2 linked regions of the Caenorhabditis elegans genome follow. The gene in region 1 interacts genetically with each later gene. Each region holds a gene or a part of one and is shown on either strand. Other genes may lie near its edges. The genes, in order: plp-1 and mom-5.

The links.
Region 2: of plp-1 (region 1) and mom-5, changing one enhances a phenotype caused by changing the other (phenotypic enhancement), as found in Caenorhabditis elegans (one study listed by BioGRID).

Annotation. Positions count from the first base shown.
Region 1 is NC_003282.8:7,628,996-7,637,213, reverse strand, and holds plp-1 (Transcriptional activator plp-1), read right to left. Parts: upstream 3,855-8,218; 5' UTR 3,785-3,854; coding exon 3,647-3,784; intron 3,602-3,646; coding exon 3,485-3,601; intron 3,256-3,484; coding exon 2,935-3,255; intron 2,888-2,934; coding exon 2,783-2,887; 3' UTR 2,561-2,782; downstream 1-2,560. Other genes in the region: nep-16 (Peptidase M13 N-terminal domain-containing protein), read left to right, coding at 31-375, 796-1,234, 1,278-1,421; warf-1 (ADP-ribosylation factor 1-like 1), read right to left, coding at 1,565-1,648, 1,754-1,951, 1,997-2,106, 2,154-2,301; F45E4.6 (EGF-like domain-containing protein), read left to right, coding at 4,686-4,779, 5,109-5,224, 5,268-5,338, 5,385-5,656, 5,856-5,973, 6,033-6,284, 6,332-6,443. UniProt on the Caenorhabditis elegans protein: Probable transcription activator. Binds telomeric DNA containing repeats of the sequence, 5'-TTAGGC-3'. Binds to end-1 promoter, activating end-1 expression, which is required for endoderm specification during embryonic development.
Region 2 is NC_003279.8:9,961,447-9,972,753, reverse strand, and holds mom-5 (Protein mom-5), read right to left. Parts: upstream 7,175-11,307; 5' UTR 7,114-7,174; coding exon 6,641-7,113; intron 6,148-6,640; coding exon 5,777-6,147; intron 5,713-5,776; coding exon 5,574-5,712; intron 5,034-5,573; coding exon 4,792-5,033; intron 4,680-4,791; coding exon 4,559-4,679; intron 4,212-4,558; coding exon 3,993-4,211; intron 3,568-3,992; coding exon 3,420-3,567; 3' UTR 2,717-3,419; downstream 1-2,716. Other genes in the region: tsp-7 (Tetraspanin), read left to right, coding at 556-688, 738-815, 1,039-1,101, 2,261-2,405, 2,508-2,641; algn-10 (Dol-P-Glc:Glc(2)Man(9)GlcNAc(2)-PP-Dol alpha-1,2-glucosyltransferase), read left to right, coding at 10,783-10,840, 10,897-11,001, 11,050-11,225, 11,274-11,307. UniProt on the Caenorhabditis elegans protein: Receptor for Wnt proteins.

The sequences.
Region 1 (8,218 bases):
TGAAATTAATTACAAAAAATTTCTCTCCAGATGGCGCGAATGTGTCGATCAAATTTCATCTTTCGAAATTGGAAGAAAAATGTATGTGGACAAAGCATCACAAACAATTGATCTTCCAAAAATTCAAGAATTCCTTCAAAATCTTAAGATAGATTTTCTCTCCGTCCATCGTAGCACTCCTCTTCAATATTTATCAAATATAAACCGTCTTGGTTTTTATGTTGGATTCCCGAGACGTTTACAAAATGAGGAACTCATTTGGAAGCCAGTTTCACAGGTGTCACTTAATGAAACAGACTATTTTGATTCAATGATAAGAGTTGGAAAAGCTGAAAGAGATTATACTATGTCGCAGATTGGAACATATTTGGACAAGTAAGTGTTTTAATATTAACATTAAAATTCGAATCATAAAACGACATTTGAGAATTTGTATACAATTAAATTAAATTGAACATCGGAAATGGTCCTGCACAAATAGGCATGTCTTGTGTTATATCTGCGAGCTGTAAAAATTGTTTCAATTAAATTTTGAACAACTCCGTTTAAAATAGGAAATGATAAATTCAGAAAATAGGTTGTAGGCTGTTACATAGGCAGGCAGGCAAACAGTACCATATAGCTATACATAAGAAGTTCATTACGTGTGTGCTGATTTATTTTAAGTGTATGGTTAAATCGTATAGGTACTGTAGCTAGCAGGAGATCTTAATTTCAAAAAACATGTTCATTCTGACAAACTAAATATCAAACTTCGCGAGGCGAACTTAAAATTCCTAATACAAGTACTTTTAGTGACGACACAACGACTTTCCCAATAAGTGATCCAACAATGCTTTATAATTCTAATGTTGGAGCAATAGTGATTCCACTTGCATTCATTGAACCTCCAATTTATTTACCTGGTGATGAAGTTCCTATGTATGGTATCTATTCAAGTCTTGGAATAACCACGCTTCAAATGATTTCAAAAGTTTTTTGGCAAGGCTTAGATAAAACGTCTCAACTGGAATGTCTTGACAACGTATTCCGTGGATTCCTGGATGCAAACCGACAGAGATCACCAAACATTGAACCTGAACTTTTAGCAACTATTGAATTAGCAGATGCATTTAAAAGTGCATTGTATTCTTATGCAAAATGGCAAAATGATCATCATATTCATCACGAGAAGACGCTTCCAGCATTCGATTCAACTGATAGTATGAGATCTCTAATGCTCACTTTTTCTACGGTACCATCTTTCAGTAATTCATTTTAAACCATCAATTTTTCAGATGTTCTGTAGCGGAGAAGGATCAGAACCTGGAAGTGACTACGAAGCAATGATCAATACAGTTGCTGAAAATTCTCGAATGTTTTCAATACATTTTAACTGTAACAATTCTAGTCGTCTTTACAACCGTCGAACTTGTTTATGATTGTTTTTTCAACCTGTGATTAATTATTTAACTCTAATTATCTTTTCCTTAATTCAAACTTCCACAAGAATTCAGTTATGAATAACACTTTTCAATATTTTATTCAATTTCTTATGAAAAGAAATGAAATCATTTAGCAATCCTTATGTCTTCATCTGCTTCTTGACCCACATCAGACCTTCGTAGAGACCTTGTCCAGAGTGAGCGTTTGTACCACAGATGAACCACTGAAAAGCCAATTGTATTATCATAATGTCACAAGATTTTGGCATTCCTTTTAGGTATATATATCCTATAGATTATAAGGTCTACAAAACAATACAACTATATACCTCTCTATTCTTGAGTGAACCCAAATCAAGCAGCTGAGTCAGCTCGGCTGGTGATCTTGCATTCGGCATATCCTGCTTGTTTGCAAAGACAAGCAAATGAGAATCCGCAAGCTCTGGCTCGGCCAGCAAACTGAACAATTCCTCCTTTGCCTCGGGAATCCGCTCAATATCCGAACTGTCCACCACAAACACTAATGTCTGAAATTAAACAATTTTCGTTGTATAATTCCTCTTGATAATTACTGTGGTATTTGGAAAGTAGTATTTCCAGAGAGCACGAATTTTCTTCTGACCTCCAACATCCCAAACAGTGAGAGTGATTTTTTGGAAGGTAACAGTCTCCACGTTGAATCCTTCAAACAAATACTCAAGTATGACCACATTTAAAAAGTGAACAAACCAATGGTTGGAATTGTATTGACTGTCTCATTAAGCTTCAGCTTATAGAGAATAGTCGTTTTCCCGGCTCCATCTAAACCGAGCATCAATGTACGACATTCGATATTTGGAAACATGAAGGAAGAAATTTTAGAGAAGAATAAGCCCATTTTGAACGAAAAAGACTTTTTGAAAATGCAGAATACGATATTCTTGAAGCTATGTCGACAATCAGAGTTATTTTATCCATCTCCATGGCTCCACGTTCCAGCTAGTGAGTTGGCCGTTTTTTGCGTGTTTTAATTTCTGTTGGAAGAAAGTTATTACGAAATATTTGTTCACTTAGTCAGACCCGCCCTTTTCTGGTTTCGCAACAGGTGTTCGATAAGGAAACGTAACTTTCCCTGGCAAGAATAATTAAGACACGAATTTCCCGAGAATTTATTAGAGTTCAATAAACTTGATGCTTAAATAAATAAATAAACGAAACAGGTAGAGTGAAAATACAGGAACACAGCAGTTTAGAAAAATAGGTAAAATCTTTACATGCAAATGCAGTAAAGATTTGGAGGGATTTTTTGGGAGACTCTCGAGTTCGATAGATGTTATGCAATTACGATTGTTTTTTTTGCAGAGAAAACTTGTAGATCACTACTTTCCTTGGTTGGCGATGATGTTATCCAACTCTTTGCGGAAATCGACGAGTGCGGACATTGGAACGGTGATTGCGTTACGATAGCCGCTGTTGAGTTTGATCTGAATATAAAATTAGAATAAACTTCTATTTGACACAAAATTATTACTTCCGAGATGCGAACAAACTCTCCACGATCGTTCTTTCCGGAATGGAAAAGGAACGATTTGTTTTCAGCAGTGATTTTTGGAGTGTTGGTGTTCTCCTGTTCGTGTCCCTCTCCGAACTTGGCCAAATATTCGGTTAGCACCTTATGAATTTCGGCGATTCCATCGGATGGAATGGCGATTTGTTGGCGAGTTTGACGTGGGTTCATCGGCATCTGAGCAATGCGCAAAAAGCGACCACGAACATTTTCCTTCAGATCGACGTAGAATTTTCTCCCGTCGACATTGAGAGTCTCTGATTTGATGAGAGAGCTTTCCTTTGGCTGAAATTTAATATTGCATTAAAAAAGTTTTTAATATATTTTTTTTTAATTTTTATATTAAATATCAATAAAATTATGGGCATTGAAGCAGGTATATTCAATTTAGAAATCCACTTTTGTTTTCACTAAAAAGTTCATCAGCTTTTCAATTGAAAAAAATCAGAAAGAACATTTTTGCCTAGAGCGTGTATAAATTGTTACGCCACTTCTTTAAATAATTGCAACTTACAGCGTGTTCACCAGTTGATGGTTCATCAATGAGGGCAAGCATCTTCGAAATCTCACTCACGATTGCCTTGGCAGCGACGATGCTTAGAATAATACGGCTCTTGTAATTTGTACCCAACTGAAAAATGCTAATATTAGTACGGGAAGTTAGTTTCGAAGCAACCTCAGCAATCTTGATGTAACGTCCACGAGTGTTCTCATTGACATCGATGTAGTATCGCTTGTATTGAACAGTGAGCTGGTGAGTAGCCAGAGAATCCTCGGCACGCTTGGTTCCCCTTTCAACACTTCCGTCCGACATCCTTTACCCAGACAATTTCCTTTCGAACAAACGACTATGGTGACAAAAGACACCCCTTGAACCAACTGGTCTGCAAATAAAAAATATTTGAATTAAAATAATAATAATTCCATTGAGAACAAAAAGAAAATTACATATTAGATAAAGTGTAGCCATAAAAAACGTTACTTAACATTCTAAAACATATTTGCATCATCTGACGAAACATTCTCAAGATAAAATTATCCACTGGACAAGGCCACTCGTACACGTTTGCGAACACAACAGCTGGTAAGAAATAAGAGCGCTTCTGGTTCGCATAAATCAAGGCAAAATCGATATTGAGCGAGAGCGAGGGGACACCGAGAGTGTGGGTCGCTACCCACTGAAATATATGCATCACTTTCACTGCTTTCGGAAGTTATAAATGGCTCTTTTTAAAATAGAATTGACAAAATAATTAGAAATCATTCCCGGTGACAGCAGGAAAGAGATCAAAAATTAGGATGAAGAAGTCACTGAAGAATCAAATCTTGTGACCTTGACAAGAAGACATGATGGCAGGAATAAATATAAATTGGTTCAACAGTATTTTTCATTATGTTAAGTTCAATTTTCATTGAAAATACATTATATAAAACGATAAAAACAAGATTTAGAAAGGAAAAAAAGCTAAAAACTCACAAGAAAATTTGATTGCTTACGAAAGTGTGCAAACACCGAGACGCAATTTCACACGGAAACAAATACGCGGCAAAATTCAGAAATTTGAACACTATTATTCAAAATATACGTTTAATAAATAAATAACCTTCTGAAACGTGGGAACATGAAACGTGTAACATATTTTTTTCATCAAAATGCATAATCGTCAAAAATCCGATCAATTTAATTTATTTCTCTATTTATCGGTGCAATTGAAATGAAGCTAACAAGGAAATTCACAATTCACTTGCAATTATTTATTTACGCAAATCTTGTCAACTGCTTTTCGATTGATTCACCGGAGAAAATAGGTAAAATTGCCATTTCGTGGACCAGGAATGTACATTTTGTCGTGAATAATCTGAATGACTGTTTAGAATGACGTTTCAGAAAACTGAAATTGCTGTATTGTAATTCCACAAGATTTTGGCATGACTTCTTAAAGGCGCACGGATTGATTCAGATTGGTCTCGGCGCGCAAAAGTGTATGATAGTATTCTTTTGTAATTTTTGCGCGCTGTGACCCATCTAAATAAATCCGTGCGCCTTCAAGAAGGCATGCCAAAATCTTGTGAAGTTATGTACGATATCACAATTTCTAAATTTATAATTTTCACTCATAAAATCAATAAGAATTCAGCTCTGGAACCTAATACGTTGATTGTGAGAGATACTCAAGAATACTGGGCACTTGGTTGGCCAACCTCCATATCATGTGATTCCAAATCAAAACTAGAAGATATAAATTCTGGAGAAGTAAGCATTTTAAAACATTTTTGATTTAAGATTGAAAATTTAGGGCCAAAAAATGTATTGGAAGATCAGATACCCAGATTCGAAAGGTGAAGAGACATTAGATCAAGACGACAAGTATGCAGCGCTGAGTTTTATGTTTTTTTAAATAATATAATTTTAGAGCAAATTATGATTATATGAATAACCTCCTACAAATCAAAAACGTGTCCCGAAATTTCAACAACACAGTATTTGAGTGTGTCATCGAACGGCCAGGAAATATCACAATGATCAGTAGACATCGAGTTCAAATTCAAGATTGCATTTTTCGTAGTCCACCGGATACAACAGCATACAACTTGCATAATCCGTGTGCTTATGGAAAGTGTATGGTTGAATGGGGAAGAGTGGAATGTCTCTGTTTCAGACAATACGGTGGAATTCATTGTGACGGTAAGTTAACTTACAAAGTTTCAGTTGTTAATGGAATTCAATTGTGTAAACGCGTGATTCATTTTTTGTGACAGTTCTAGACCGAGTTTGACCAAAAATATTAACTTGTTTTAGAAGTTAGCAAAGCTTGAGCACAAGTTTGGCGTGTCTTTGACACATACTACGATCAAGTTTAACCTTGATCCTCTTCTTTTTCCAGGTCCAAAATGGGGTAATTGGTACCTTAATCTTTTTCCATTTGTGCTAGCCAGCTTCGTTATCGGCTTGTTCATCATATTCTTTTGCATAACTTGTATTTACCAGGATGACAGGAAACAGTATGTTTAGATTTAGTAAATATTTTAAATTTTGAGTTGTTATTTGAAATTGTTTTCAGAGAAAAATTGATGGAAATATCACAAGTTGTTGGACACTCGGATCGTATCGATTTCACACTCTATGATTTGTACCCATTTGTCGGGAAACTTGGAGGTTGTATCTATACTGAAGCTGATGCAGTGGATGATAAGAAGTATGAACGAGTAAGAAAAACAATTACGGATTTCCTGCAACGAGGGGAAGACGAAGAAAAAGATGAACAAATCGGAGTTACAACAGTTGGAACTACGATGGAAATCCCTCCAAAAACGTATGTGCTAATTGTTTTAGTTCAATTCACACTTTGTTTATTTACAGCACAACTAGAACTACTACTACCACAGCGAAAACGACAACAAAAGCTTCAAAAAGTTCAAAAACAGTTGGTACAACAAAAAGGGCATCTGGCATGACAACTGTTGGAATGTAATATTCGGTGCATCAATTTTCTACAAGTTATTAAAATATAAATTCGTTTGGTTTATGTGAATTTATAAATAAAATTATTTTGAAAACTTAGTGTTGAAATATCTTTTTTCTTTCTGAGTGAGGTGAAGTGGAGAAAAATTATCTATTTATTTGCAAATATATTGTGAAGATAAGAAAAACGTTCTGTAGCCGTGCATCCGTCTAAGTTCGGCCTTTGTTTGCAAATTCATTATAAATCTTTCGATGTAAAAATCAACTGTAATTTTATTCTTATAGTTAGGCTTTGGATTTGAGAATATTACATCGTTTTTTTTTATTGGAAAGTGGTTATTTGAGTATTACATGCTTATATTATCTAGAGCGATTTTGAAGAAACAATCTATATGTATTAATATTCTGCGATTTTCCATTTCACAAGACTAAATACATCCATTCTAGTTTCTTCTGAAATTTTGTAGAATTCTATTATATTATTTGTGGATAGAATTCGTCAAATTCAGGTTCCCCATTCCCGTACTTTTCTTACATTTTTTCTCTCGGTCTCTGTCTGGTAGCCAGTAAACATTTTCACTTTCATTTCATTTCGATTTGCATACTAACTGCAAAATGACCACAAGAAAGAATGATGACGAATAGTTACACAAAAATCATCTGAAATAAATTGGTTCAACTTGAAAAAGAAGATTTCAGAACTATGTTTTATTTTATAGATTTGACCTTCAAGTGGTGGTCAAGCGGCAAGAATAGTGTAAAGTGACCAGTTCAGCGAAAAGTTTGGACACAAATGGACAATAAAAGAAGAAAATGTATTAGGAAATATGCGCTTATGAATATTTTGAACGATTATTTTTTGAAACCAACATTCACTTAATTTTCCTCTACATCCTATTGCATATCCAACTTAATTTTTCTAAAATTTTCAATACACAAAACTCATAAATGTGCTTTTCAGTGTTAAATATTTTTGCAGCTTTCTAAATTTTTTGTGTAAGGGGCACGACTTACATGCCTTACCCATGTTTGCCCGGAAAATGCATCTGAGAATTGGGAAATTGTAAACTTTTAAAATAAAAAAGAAAGAAAAATATTGCAATATTTAGCATTGATAACGTCACGACAATACTGTACTATACTGTACGGTAATAATGTACTACTGTATAATACTGGCAGCACTACTGGAAAGACCCGATGAGGGCAAGTGAAGAGGAGAGAGAGGGGCGCTCTTGGAATACACTGGGACGTCCCGTCTAAATCATAAAAATATAGGCACAATCATACTTGAATTTTTTTTTTGAACTTTTTTGTATAAATAAAACAACTCTTTATAAGTGAAATTTCCATGAACTTGGAAGCGTTGAAGCATTTGGAAGCATTGAAAACTTCCTTCCTTTAGTTTTAATACCGTTCATTGGTGCTAAATTTAACCTTCAGAGAGTGATTGTCTACTATTTTTAAGCTAAAATAAATCAGTGACTATAAATATTTTCAACCATTCTAGTTTTACGGATGACTAGCTGCTTTGTCCATGTGACCCTACGTTTGACCTCGACGTTTTGACCCTTCTCTTCCAATTTTTCAAATCAACAAAAAATATCAAAAGCGTGACTCACATGCAGAAAAACCACCTGAAATCGACGCGAGACGTTGACATTCAAATAAATGGGGCGGGCCGAGTACTGTAACCACTTAAGACCTAGTTATATATAAAAGAAAGTACAAACTGGACACAACATAAGAGTACTAGTAACACTTCCGTTCTTCTTCTTCTTATTCTCA
Region 2 (11,307 bases), on another chromosome or scaffold:
ATTTAACCAGGGACTAGATGAAAAGTTTCGCTCGTGCCAGGACCCAAAATCACCAAAATTAAACTCGCACTTTTCAAATAATTGTTCTATCTAATGTTCTGAAATAAAAAATAAAAAAGGAACTTTTTTCAATTCGAAAAATTGTCAAGGTATTTCGTGGCGAGACCGCCTTTATGAAGAGTTAACTTTTCGGTATCATAACTTCGCCATTTTGGTACACGGATTTTATTTACAATTAGATGTGTCTCGACAGATGTTCTTTTGCTGCCAAATATGAATCAAAATCATAATATTGATAGTCTTACTATTAGCAAAACTACAGAAGAAGAACTGATTGTGAGAAAATTGTTCATAATTTTCCAAAGTAGGAAAAACGGGCACCTAAATTCCTAAAAGTGTTATCATAGACATTTCCTCGCTGCGAGACCCACTCATATAAATCCGTGAGCCTTTGAATGCGTGCTTCAGAAAACTATGAAATAACGATAATTATTCCAGAAAAATTACATCTTGGGCTACCTAAAAGTAGAAAAGAACGCCTTTGCAAATTTCCAGGTTAGCCACACCGATTCTCTTACTCGTGATCGGATCTTTGTGTACTCTTCTCGGATTTCTAGGATGTTGTGGAGCAATTCGTGAGAATTATTGTCTAACCGTCTCTTTTGCAGTTCTTCTTGCACTTCTTATCGTGAGTTCTGGACGAATTATTTCATTTTGAACGGAATAAATCATTACAGACGTGTGAAATAGCAGCAGTCATTATCGGATATGCATTGCATGATAGTTTCAGACTTGGAATTGGTAATCAGCTTCAGGTATATTTTAAAGGCTTACAGCGCCCGACAAATAATTTTATCGAAAATAATGCAAAAAGCTTATTATTGTAATTTGATAAAAATAACAACATAATCAAAACTTTAAAAAAATCTCTGAAAACTGAAGTTATCAATTAAACTAATTTAATTTTTAAGAAGCTCTGAACCAAGTTTTCCTTTTTTTAAACAAAATAAAATTTCCAGAAAAATAATATTTTTTCAGACGGGTATGGTACGATATCACGAGAGTCGAGGAGTTGAGAGTGCATGGGATAAGACACATCAGGTTAGTGAAACGTCATCACGTGGTGTCAGAGTGTCCTATTTCAGTTTGATCTACGTTGATCTACAAAAAATGCGGGAGAAGAGACGCAGAGTTCTCAGCTGATTTTGCATGGTTAAGAACGTGCTGACGTCACAATTTTTTGGGCGAAAAATTCCCGCATTTTTTGTAGGTCAAACCGTAATGGGACATCCTGACACCACGTGCGTCATGTGAATAAGCCACGTGGATTACTGATGAGATTAGTTAAATGAGTGTGACCTTCGCACTTTTTTGTTTGAAAATGCCAATTGTATCTACATAATCCCCCGTAGATTTATGATCTGAAAATAGATTATTTTAGGTGCCAAAAATCATCCTTCGAGCTTTTTACGGGATAAATGTGCTTTAGTTTTGGAATTTGGGTAGCGTCAGATCATTTAAATGTGTCACTACAAAAAAAAATCGAATCTGAAAATTTTAGAATTGTGGTTTAGGAATGTTGTTTTGACATGTTTTCTGGAAAACGTTTGAATTTTTTAATGAGAAATTTTCAGTCAAAAATTTTTTTCGGGAAGAATACGTTATTTGCTTTAAATTTAATTAAAATGTTAAAAATAGTCTATTCAGAATCTCTCAAAATTTCAAAAAAATTAAATAAACTTTTTTCAATTCAGAAAAAAATTTTAAAAAAATTCATCACATTTTAGAGCTGTTTTTTTCAAAATTCTCGTATTAGTAATTAATTTAAAAATGGGTAATTTCGAAAAAAAATACTTTTTTTAAAAATTTTCTGACTAAAATATTACTGAAACACAAAATTTTGAGAACCAACATATTTGACGCGCAAAATATCTCAGAGCGAAAACTACAGTATTTCTTTGAATGACTACTGTATCACTGGTGTCGATTTACTGGCTCAATTTAAATAAATTATCTTAAAATCGAGCCCGTAAATCGACACAAGCGCTACAGTAGCTATTTAAAGAATTACTGTAGTTTTCGCTACGAGATATTTGCGCGTCAAGTTCTCAGGTTCCCGTAATATTCAATTTTGATTCGAAAACTTATTTACTTTTTACCTGTATTTTTCATGAAGTTTTTCTTTAATTTAGCAAAACTTCCAAAAAAAAAATTAAAGTAGAACTACAGCATTTAAAATTCAAATTAATTTCAATTTTAGTTGTTTGAATGTTGTGGAGTAACAAATTCATCCGATTGGCTCACATTCACAACAATTCCTGATTCATGTTGCATTGAAGAAATCGAGGGATGTGCTCGAGAGAATGCTCCACTCTTTGAGCCCGGATGCATTCACAGTGTCGAACGTTAGTCTTTTTTTTCCAAGAAGATCAAAGTGTGCTCTGTTGCACTTTCTCAATAGAGCATGATTGGGCTTATCGGAAATTTGATTGTTTTTTTAATTGCAGAATGGGTGCTCAAGAATGGAGCAATGGTCGGCGGAATTTGTGCAGTTTTGGCAGCAATTCAATTGGTCGGAGTCTGTTTCGCTTGTTGTCTTTCAAAATCAATTCTCAAGGATTTCCATGACTTTTATTATTAGTTCATAACCATCCGTTTTTCTTTGCAATCCTTATTTTAGGTTCTTTCAATCGCCGTGTCACAAATTAAACAATAATAATAATGTATAATTTATATATGAATATACGATGAAAAAGAAATTGAGGATGAAGAAAAATAAGCAACCGCATAAATAATGAGTAATAAATTCATAACTCTAAATTCGAGACAAAGACTGGGATGAAAGTGGTTTTACCCTGATTGGAGTGCTCAAAGTGTGAAAAAAAGTGTGTGAACCTTGTGCTGGAGCTGGTGACAACAGAACTTAAGAACATGAATAAACGAGATACATGAAAAATGGCAGCGAGAGAACTGATCTACAGTAACCTGAATTGAAGGGGGTTCTTTTTTGACTTTTCTCAAGCTTCTTTCTGCCCTTTTTGTCAGATTTCAATGTAATTCCACTCAAAAATATCATTTTTCACCATCTTTTCCACTCGTTGTCTCTCTTTTGCTATGTAAGAGCGCATCTTTGGGAGCCGGTTCTTAGAAATGTGCTCGTCGCAACTCAAATCAGGAAGCATTGAGAGACAACGAGTAGACGAGGAGAGTGTAGACACAGAGATGGATCATGCTCTGGGGAATGATTCTGTGAGAGGAAGGGGACCGATGGGCGCCGTCCGATGAGCAAGAGAGAGCATAAGAATAAGTCAGAAAAGTTACAAAGAATGAAGAAAAAGAAACATTTGAGTTGGTTGGGAAAAAAGTGAGAAAAGGAATGAGAATACATATAAATAGGATAAAATGACAAGAAGAGACTATCACCTCATATTAACCTGATCAACATGAGCAGGTACAGTAGGTGACCTCGAAGAGAGTGCCAGGTAAGCCTTGTGATAACTTGAAAGAGTTTTTGAAGAGACAACCCAAATGGCACAGGTTATACCAACAACCAATTGAGACACATATCTGAAAATAAGAACATTTAGGGGTTTCGAATCAAGATAAATAATTCATATTAACTAGACGCGAAATTATGCAGTCTCGGCACGATCCAATTTTGTCGAATATGCGCCTTTAAAGAGTACTGTAACTTCGAAGTCGCGTTGCTGCGGAATTTACATCGATTTTTCATGAATAGTTTTTCTTATGTTAGGCTTTTTGTGTTTGAATTGCTTAATATTTAAATAAGAATATTTTTTATCAAGAAGCGATGAAAATTCTGCAGCAACAAGAGTTTGAAACTACAGTATTCTTTAAAGGCGTATACATTTTTGCATTTAACAAACATTCGTCTTGTCGAAACCGGATGTCGCATTTTTGGCGCAAAAATCAGAAAATCAAATTTAGATTATACAGATTGAAATTTAACTGATTCACAGTTTCAAACTAACTTTAAAAGAAAAACAATAATCTCCGGAGCTGCAACTTTCGGATCCATCGGACAATCATCAACTGGATACGTGAAACCGAATAATTCTCGATCTTGAAGTCGAACACATCGATGATGAAGCCATCCTTCAAGCCAGGCAGGCATATTTACTGCCTGATACCACATAATTGCAGCATTCATTGCAGTTGGTAGAGAGTACATTATGGCGAAGGCACCGATTCTGAAAATATAATATTTGTATGATAATATGAAACGAATATCAGAAAAGCGATTCTTAAGTTTTTCTTATTTTGTTCGGTTCTTAGGAAATCCAATTTTTTCGTTTTTTTTTTCTGAAATTTTGGAATTTTAAATAAAAAATGATTTCCAGGGAATTCTCGGGTTTTAGAATAATTTATCAACTTTCCAAACTGAAATCAATATATCTACATCAGTAAACCTAGTTTGCTCGTCTTTTTCTGTACATGTTTTTCCAATTTTTCGTTTTCCAAAAATCGAAAGTATTTCTTTTCTGATTAAAAAAGCTCAGGTACTTTTGAAGATTTTCAAAAATTTGAAATATCGAACCTCAACATTAATTTCTCCAATTTACTGATATTCCTCTCAACATCGGCGTGTTGAAGTTTAATATAACTTCGAATACGGATCATTGACCAAATTCCACAAACGAGTAAAACTGCTCCGAGTGCTGCAAATAGAACATTTCTGAGAAGAAAACGAAGATAAATAACGATGGAACACACAACGAAACGAATTCAATTTCGGTCTTCCCCCACCATAATATTCACAAAAAAACTAACCCAACGATACAACGATCGGAGTGAAAAAGAAATAGACGAGAGCAGAGGGATTCAAATTTCCAACTGAACAGATTCCAGTAAATACATCTCCATCGACAGAATTTGTCACTAGTACAGTAACCGAGAGAACTGCTGGAACTCCCCAGCACATTGCGTGGAAGTATGGTGACAGAGCAGCAATTGATTCAGCTCCCCATTTCAGATTTGCCGCCAGGAACCAGGCTAGACACAGTACAAGCCACCTGAAAGAATACTTAGTATATAAAATATCATTTTAAAAAGGCTGATAGCTGTTTAAATCAAGATTAAAAATTTGGGTGTCGATTTTCGATTTTTCAATGAAAACAAAAATTTTCGATTTTTGTTTTTTTTTTGTTTGAAGAAAAAATACATTTTTTTCATGAACAAAATTTGATAAAAATTGAATTTTTTTTTTGATTTTCCGATTTTCCGGAAACGGGGTTTTTTTCATTTAAAATTTGGTTTAAAAAAAATATTTTTTAGATTTTTGTTACTGAAAATTGTCGAAAATCATAAATGTAATTTTTTTCTGAAAAATTACACTCGAAATTATAAAAATTAAAATTTTTATCAAAATATTCAAAAAGTTCTTTAAAAAAAAAATGTTTCAGTTGTCGTTTTTTTGTTGAAAAATGTGTTTGAACAAAAGAAAAACATGCCGATTTTTTTTCGAATGCACATTTTCAAAACCAGTTTTCTATTTGTGGTACAAAAAACGGTACTTTTTTCGTTAAAATACAAAAATTAACGAAAAAACTCACCACGCACAACTTGACATGAAGAAAAAGTAATGAACAACAGCAAGAGCACTACATCCAACATTTTCTCCTCCTTGCGTAACAAGTGTTGTTGGAGTAGATCCATACGTTCCACAAGCGAATCCATCTTCACCGACTACGCCTGTAGAAATACATTTTTAGTTTCTAAAAAATCTGATTTAAAAAAAACAGAAAATTCAACTCACCTATCATATAAACCGTAGAAATTGCTAGATAACAGAACGCGAGATACAAAATCGGTCGAACTGGATACGCGAATCGTGATAAATCAACAAGAAATGTGACAAGAGTGAATAAAGAGCACACGAAACATGCCACAGACCATGCTGCTGTCCAGATTCGAAGAATTCGTCGAACACGTCCATCAAACATCATTGGTACTTGATTGTCAGCTTCACATGTTAATGAACATTCAGGAAGGCGTCCACTGAGAAGAGGCAATGAAAAATGAGATCCGCTTGTTGTATGCATATGATGAGGGCATTTTTTTGGAGAAAGGACAACTTCGTTGGCAATTGTTGAAACACCGAATGTGACGTCATTACTACTTCTGTAACTTGAAATATTTTATATTTCGATCTACGGAAACTTGTTTTATTGTTCGATAAAACAAAGAATTTAGAAATCTCGATGTACATTTTTTTCGGAAAATTTCTAAATTCAAAAACTTTGATAAAAAACTATTTGACGCTTTGGAGTAGGAGTTTTTATGGGGCTCAAAAATTCGGAATAATACTTAAATTCAGCCAAACTTGTCAGTATCACAGCGGCCGTAAATTTAATTTTCAGAGAGCTTTTTTTTTTTGAAAACTCTTACGAGGTTCGGTCTTTGCAGGCCATTCTGAATTTATTATTATTTTTCTTTAAATGCAAAACCGATGATTTTAACTGAATTTACAATTTAATTTCTCGCTGTATTTAAAAAAAGGATTCTAGAACGGTTCCCGTAAATTTAAACTTTAATTCATGTTTTGGGTACTTTTGAAATTTTTGTTGTAAATATATATCAATTATAAATTCTTATTCATAAAATTATGCAGAAAACCCACTTTTTAGAGTTGCTCGACTCGCTGGAATTCTTGCCAACACACAAATCAGTTACTGGGAATTTGTTACAATCCAATTGATCTGGCCATTGAAATCCAAACTTTTTCATTAATGACTCGCATCCATTTTTTGCAGATAAACACAATTCTCGACATGGTTGAATTGGTTTTTCGAGTACTGTACAGACAGGTGCATAGACAGTACAAAGAAAGAGACGAATATCTTCTGAGCATTTAACTTTAATTAATGGATTGAATTGCGCAATTGCTGGACCAGCTTCAGATTGTGTTGTATGTCCGAGAAGATTTGGAAATACTGTTTGATTGTAATCCAGATTTTTGCACATTGGAATTGTAATATGTTCACATTTTCGAGTTGTTGAGAATCCATTCATCGATGAAATTGAAGTTGATGAGAGTCGTTGATCAGCTGATAAGCATCCGAATAAAAATAATATCAGAATATGTCGATGCATTGTAATTGATAGTTTTGAAGAGATTTCAGATTGACAAGTGTTAGTTCATAGCAGGATTCGTCTGAAAATATAAAAAATTATTAAAGAAATAGTTTTTTTGGTTATATGTATAGAAGAAGTTCAACATTATTTAGTTAATAGTTTGTGAAATGGAGAGAACAAAATTCTAGAAAAATGATTTTTGGCAAAATTTGGAAAAAAAACCGAACTTAAGTAAATAGCTAAAATCTTTTTCAGAAAAAATCGAAAAAAAATGTTTAGAAAATTAACAAAAAGTGAAATTTTTAATGAGTTGTTGATGTGGATAAACATTTTCAAAAAATTCTTCTAAACGGAGGAAAATGGCCAACAATTTTAGATATTTTACGAAAAATCTTTTTTTTTCTCGAAATATCAGAAAACCAACACAAATACTTTCCGGCAGTTGGCAAAGATGACACATTAAAAATTTTGGCTAAATTTAGGGATTTCTCTTCGAAACATTTTCTATAAACATTTTTTGGAAGGTTTTATTGGAATTCAAAATAGAAGACTCGGTCCATAAATTGACCTTCAATTGATGAGAAAACATTGAATTTTCAAAAAAAGTGAAATGGTGTAATGTTGACATTGGTTCCAAGTGCTAAATCGAATCAATGAATCGTGAAATTATAGTGAGAAACGTGGCAAAGAAAGACAAAGAATAGTAGATTTCGGTATCTAAGTGAATCTAATCTTTAGATTACTGTACAACATGCCTCTAATCTCTTTTTTGTAATACTCTCTCGTTACGCAACTTCCGAGAGAACGGAGCACACACACACAGTAAAGAATAATTACGGCTCGGAATTCGAGAGTAATTAATGATGATGATGAGCACTGACCTAATGAAAAGATCGAAAAAGAGTGAAGAGACACAGGCCACCTGCTGCTCGAGTGTCAAATGGGCAATGAACATGCAAACGGATGAGGGAGGAAGGATTCAAGAATTTTCAAACAGTGATTCATTTCGAAAATATTCTTGTTATTGTTTGGAGAGAATTGAGGAAAATATAGATGAGAATCGAATTGAGAAAAACGGGGACGATCGATCTGTAGAAGAGATAAGAGCAATGACCTAACTGGTAGAATTTTTTGGCATTTCGGAAATTAGTTTTTAGTTTTTAAATATTTAAGTTGAAGAAAGCAAAGAAAACATTTAAAACAAATTGTCTGAAATCAACGATATTCTTAAGCAAAAGGACGCAAAATATTGCACCAAAAATACGGTACCAGGTCTCGACACGATAAAGTTTTGTTTGCGCCTTCAAGGAGTACTGTAACTCGCATTGCTGCGGATTGTTTTGATTTTATATAGGTAAATTCATGGATTTTCATTGTTTTAATCAAGTTATTTAATAAATCAATATTTTCTATCGGAAAACTATAAAAAATCGATGGAAATTCCGCAGCAAAGTTTAAAGTTACAGTACTCTGTCAAGGCGCACAGCTTTCTACATTTATCAAAAATTTGGCGCGTCGAGAGGTACCGTATTTTTTGCTAAAAATCGCAGAATCGAGCCTGAAAATTATATAAATAATTTAATTGTTTTCGAAATTCAAAAAAAGATGCCAGAAATTTAATATCGACGAACTCGAGGAGCACATAAACATATTATTTGAACTTTTGAATAAACTTTTCCAACATCCGAACTGGGAGGCCGAGTTTCGCAATGTGAAGAGCCAACATACACGTCTCGTGCCGGAGATGGGTGTCAAATTCAATTCCCGAATCAAATCAAATGAACAAATAGGCCCGTCGTTTCGATGAAAAAGAACTGACGAGAGCAACACAACTGGGAGCTTGTGACCAGAAGAAAATGGAGCAAACGAGTGATTTGTGATTGATAACGGAAATGAAAAATGGACGCGGAATTGGAAATAGTGGAAAAGAAGAAGAGGTTCAGACAAGATGGTGATAAGAAGGGGGAATGCGAAAATGTTCGCGATGGGAGCAATTTGGATGATTTCTCGTTTCAATATCAGGTAGTTTTTGATGGTTGTAAAAAAATGAAGTAAACGTAGCCAAGAAGAGATGTTCGTTGTTCCAGCTGATCCTTTAAAAACCATCGACATGAATAGCCACCAATAGATCATTGAAGGGCTCTTAAATGTGTCGCATTATGGCCAAATTGATCATAAAAAGAGAAATAGACATTGCGATGCAACAAACGTGATGATTTGATGGCGATGAACCCAGATGGTTCCCACCTGCTTATTGACCGAAAAAAAAACTAAAGAAAATGGTGAAAATGAGGATGGGCGGTCAGATGGAAAATTTTTGGTTAAATAGAAAAGATGAGCCTTTTTTTTCAAAGAAAAATCAGAACTTGTGTTCAATTCTCATTTTGATAGGCGTTATATAGCAAATCAGAATATGACAGAATGAACGAGAAAAGTTATAAAACTCTCTAGATCCTAGACCAATTGGAGGATATATTTATCAATAGATCAATCAAGTTCCACCAATCACTAAAAAAACGAACATCCCATGAAGAAGACTCATTGAGTGACATAAAACACATAAAACACCCGCGAATAGCAATAACGTATCTGTGTCTATTTCTTCAAGAGTTTTCACTCGGAGTCTCAGTGGGTGAGGCGGCGCCATAAATCAAGGTGAATGGGGTGTTTGCAACACGCACGAAAAGAAAAAGAAGAGGGAAAATAGGGGGCGGGATCGAACAACGAAGAAGAAGAAGAACAAAAAGTAATCAATGAGGGAGCGAACTGACGGCAAGGAAGAGAGCGAGGTGTTAGATGGATCGGTTTTGTGTTGTTTCGAAGAGGACTGGCCGAATGATGGAGTGCTCCGATGTCTCTTGAGCCCTTCTCAATGTGTGGGGGCCTAATTCGGAGACGATAGATGGATGGAGAAGAGAAGACGGAAAAGACTCTTCTTTCTATTTATTCATGAACAATTGCGAATTAGCACTTTTGGAGAGGGAGTGATGGAAGACGTGATGGCTCTTGTTTCATTGTATGTTCTGCCGAATTGCATTTCAATTGGGTATACAATCATCCATTCTCATTTTCTTATCGGTCCATTACATTTTTCCATTAATCATGTGCAACGGAGAGATTTTAATTCTATCAGACAAAAATAATTAAAGTTCTTTATGGAACGGGAACGATATTCGGGCCAAAATCCCAGTGTCGGAAAACTACCACAACATATCGTTTTCAAAGATAATTCTTTTGCAGATCCTAACTAACATCAAAATTTCGCTCAAACTTCCTTCTGAGACATTCTCCCCGTGACAAGTGCCAAGACTCCTTAACATTTCGTGTGCTTTAGCTCCACAATGGAGTGTCATGTCGAAAACTATCTCTTGACATGTCCCACAGGGACATCATCCTCAGAATTTAAGAACAATCGAAGAAACGAGAAAAGGAAAGAAAACGTGGAAAAGCAAAAAACATGAGTTGACCTTGAAAAGAAAAAATCGAGAGTCTCGAAAATTAAATGTTTTCGCTCTCCCGCCTGTACGCAAGTTGTCGTCAGATTAGGTGCTTGCGGATTTACGACAGATTTTTTAACTGAAAGATTTCAATGAATTTAATGCTTTAAGCTTTTATTTTCAATATATTTTTAAATCTAATAGAAAATAAATAAATAAATATACTGAAGAACAATTTATTTACTTTCAGATGACAAAATCGAAACCGCCCCGAATAAGCCTGCCATTTGCCGCAATATCCAGGAAAAGTGAATGAATATTTGCTGGAGTTAAAAATTCATTTAACCAATTTTCTCAAGTTTAGGCGATTTTCTACTTGGTGCTTCGTTTTCTTGCATTCACGTTCTGCTGACAACAATTGTCTACCACTATGTTCCAGAGCCGTATATGGATGAGATCTTCCACATTAGTGAGACACAATTGTCGAGATTCTGTCTACAATTTCCCTAATTTTCAGCTCAAACTAGATCATATTGCTCAGGAAATTACAGCTGGAATCCATTAATTACAACTCCACCGGCACTTTATGTTATTTCAATGCCATTATGTGGTGGAAATGAAAGATACGCTAACTCGATTCTTCTATTTTTCGCTATACCAGCATTTTGCCGTTTTCGGAGAATGTTCGTTAGAGTAAGAATTCCAACTTTGAAGATTTATTTGAAAAATACCGATTTGCAGCAAGATGTATGGCTGACTGCATCAATCGTCGGAA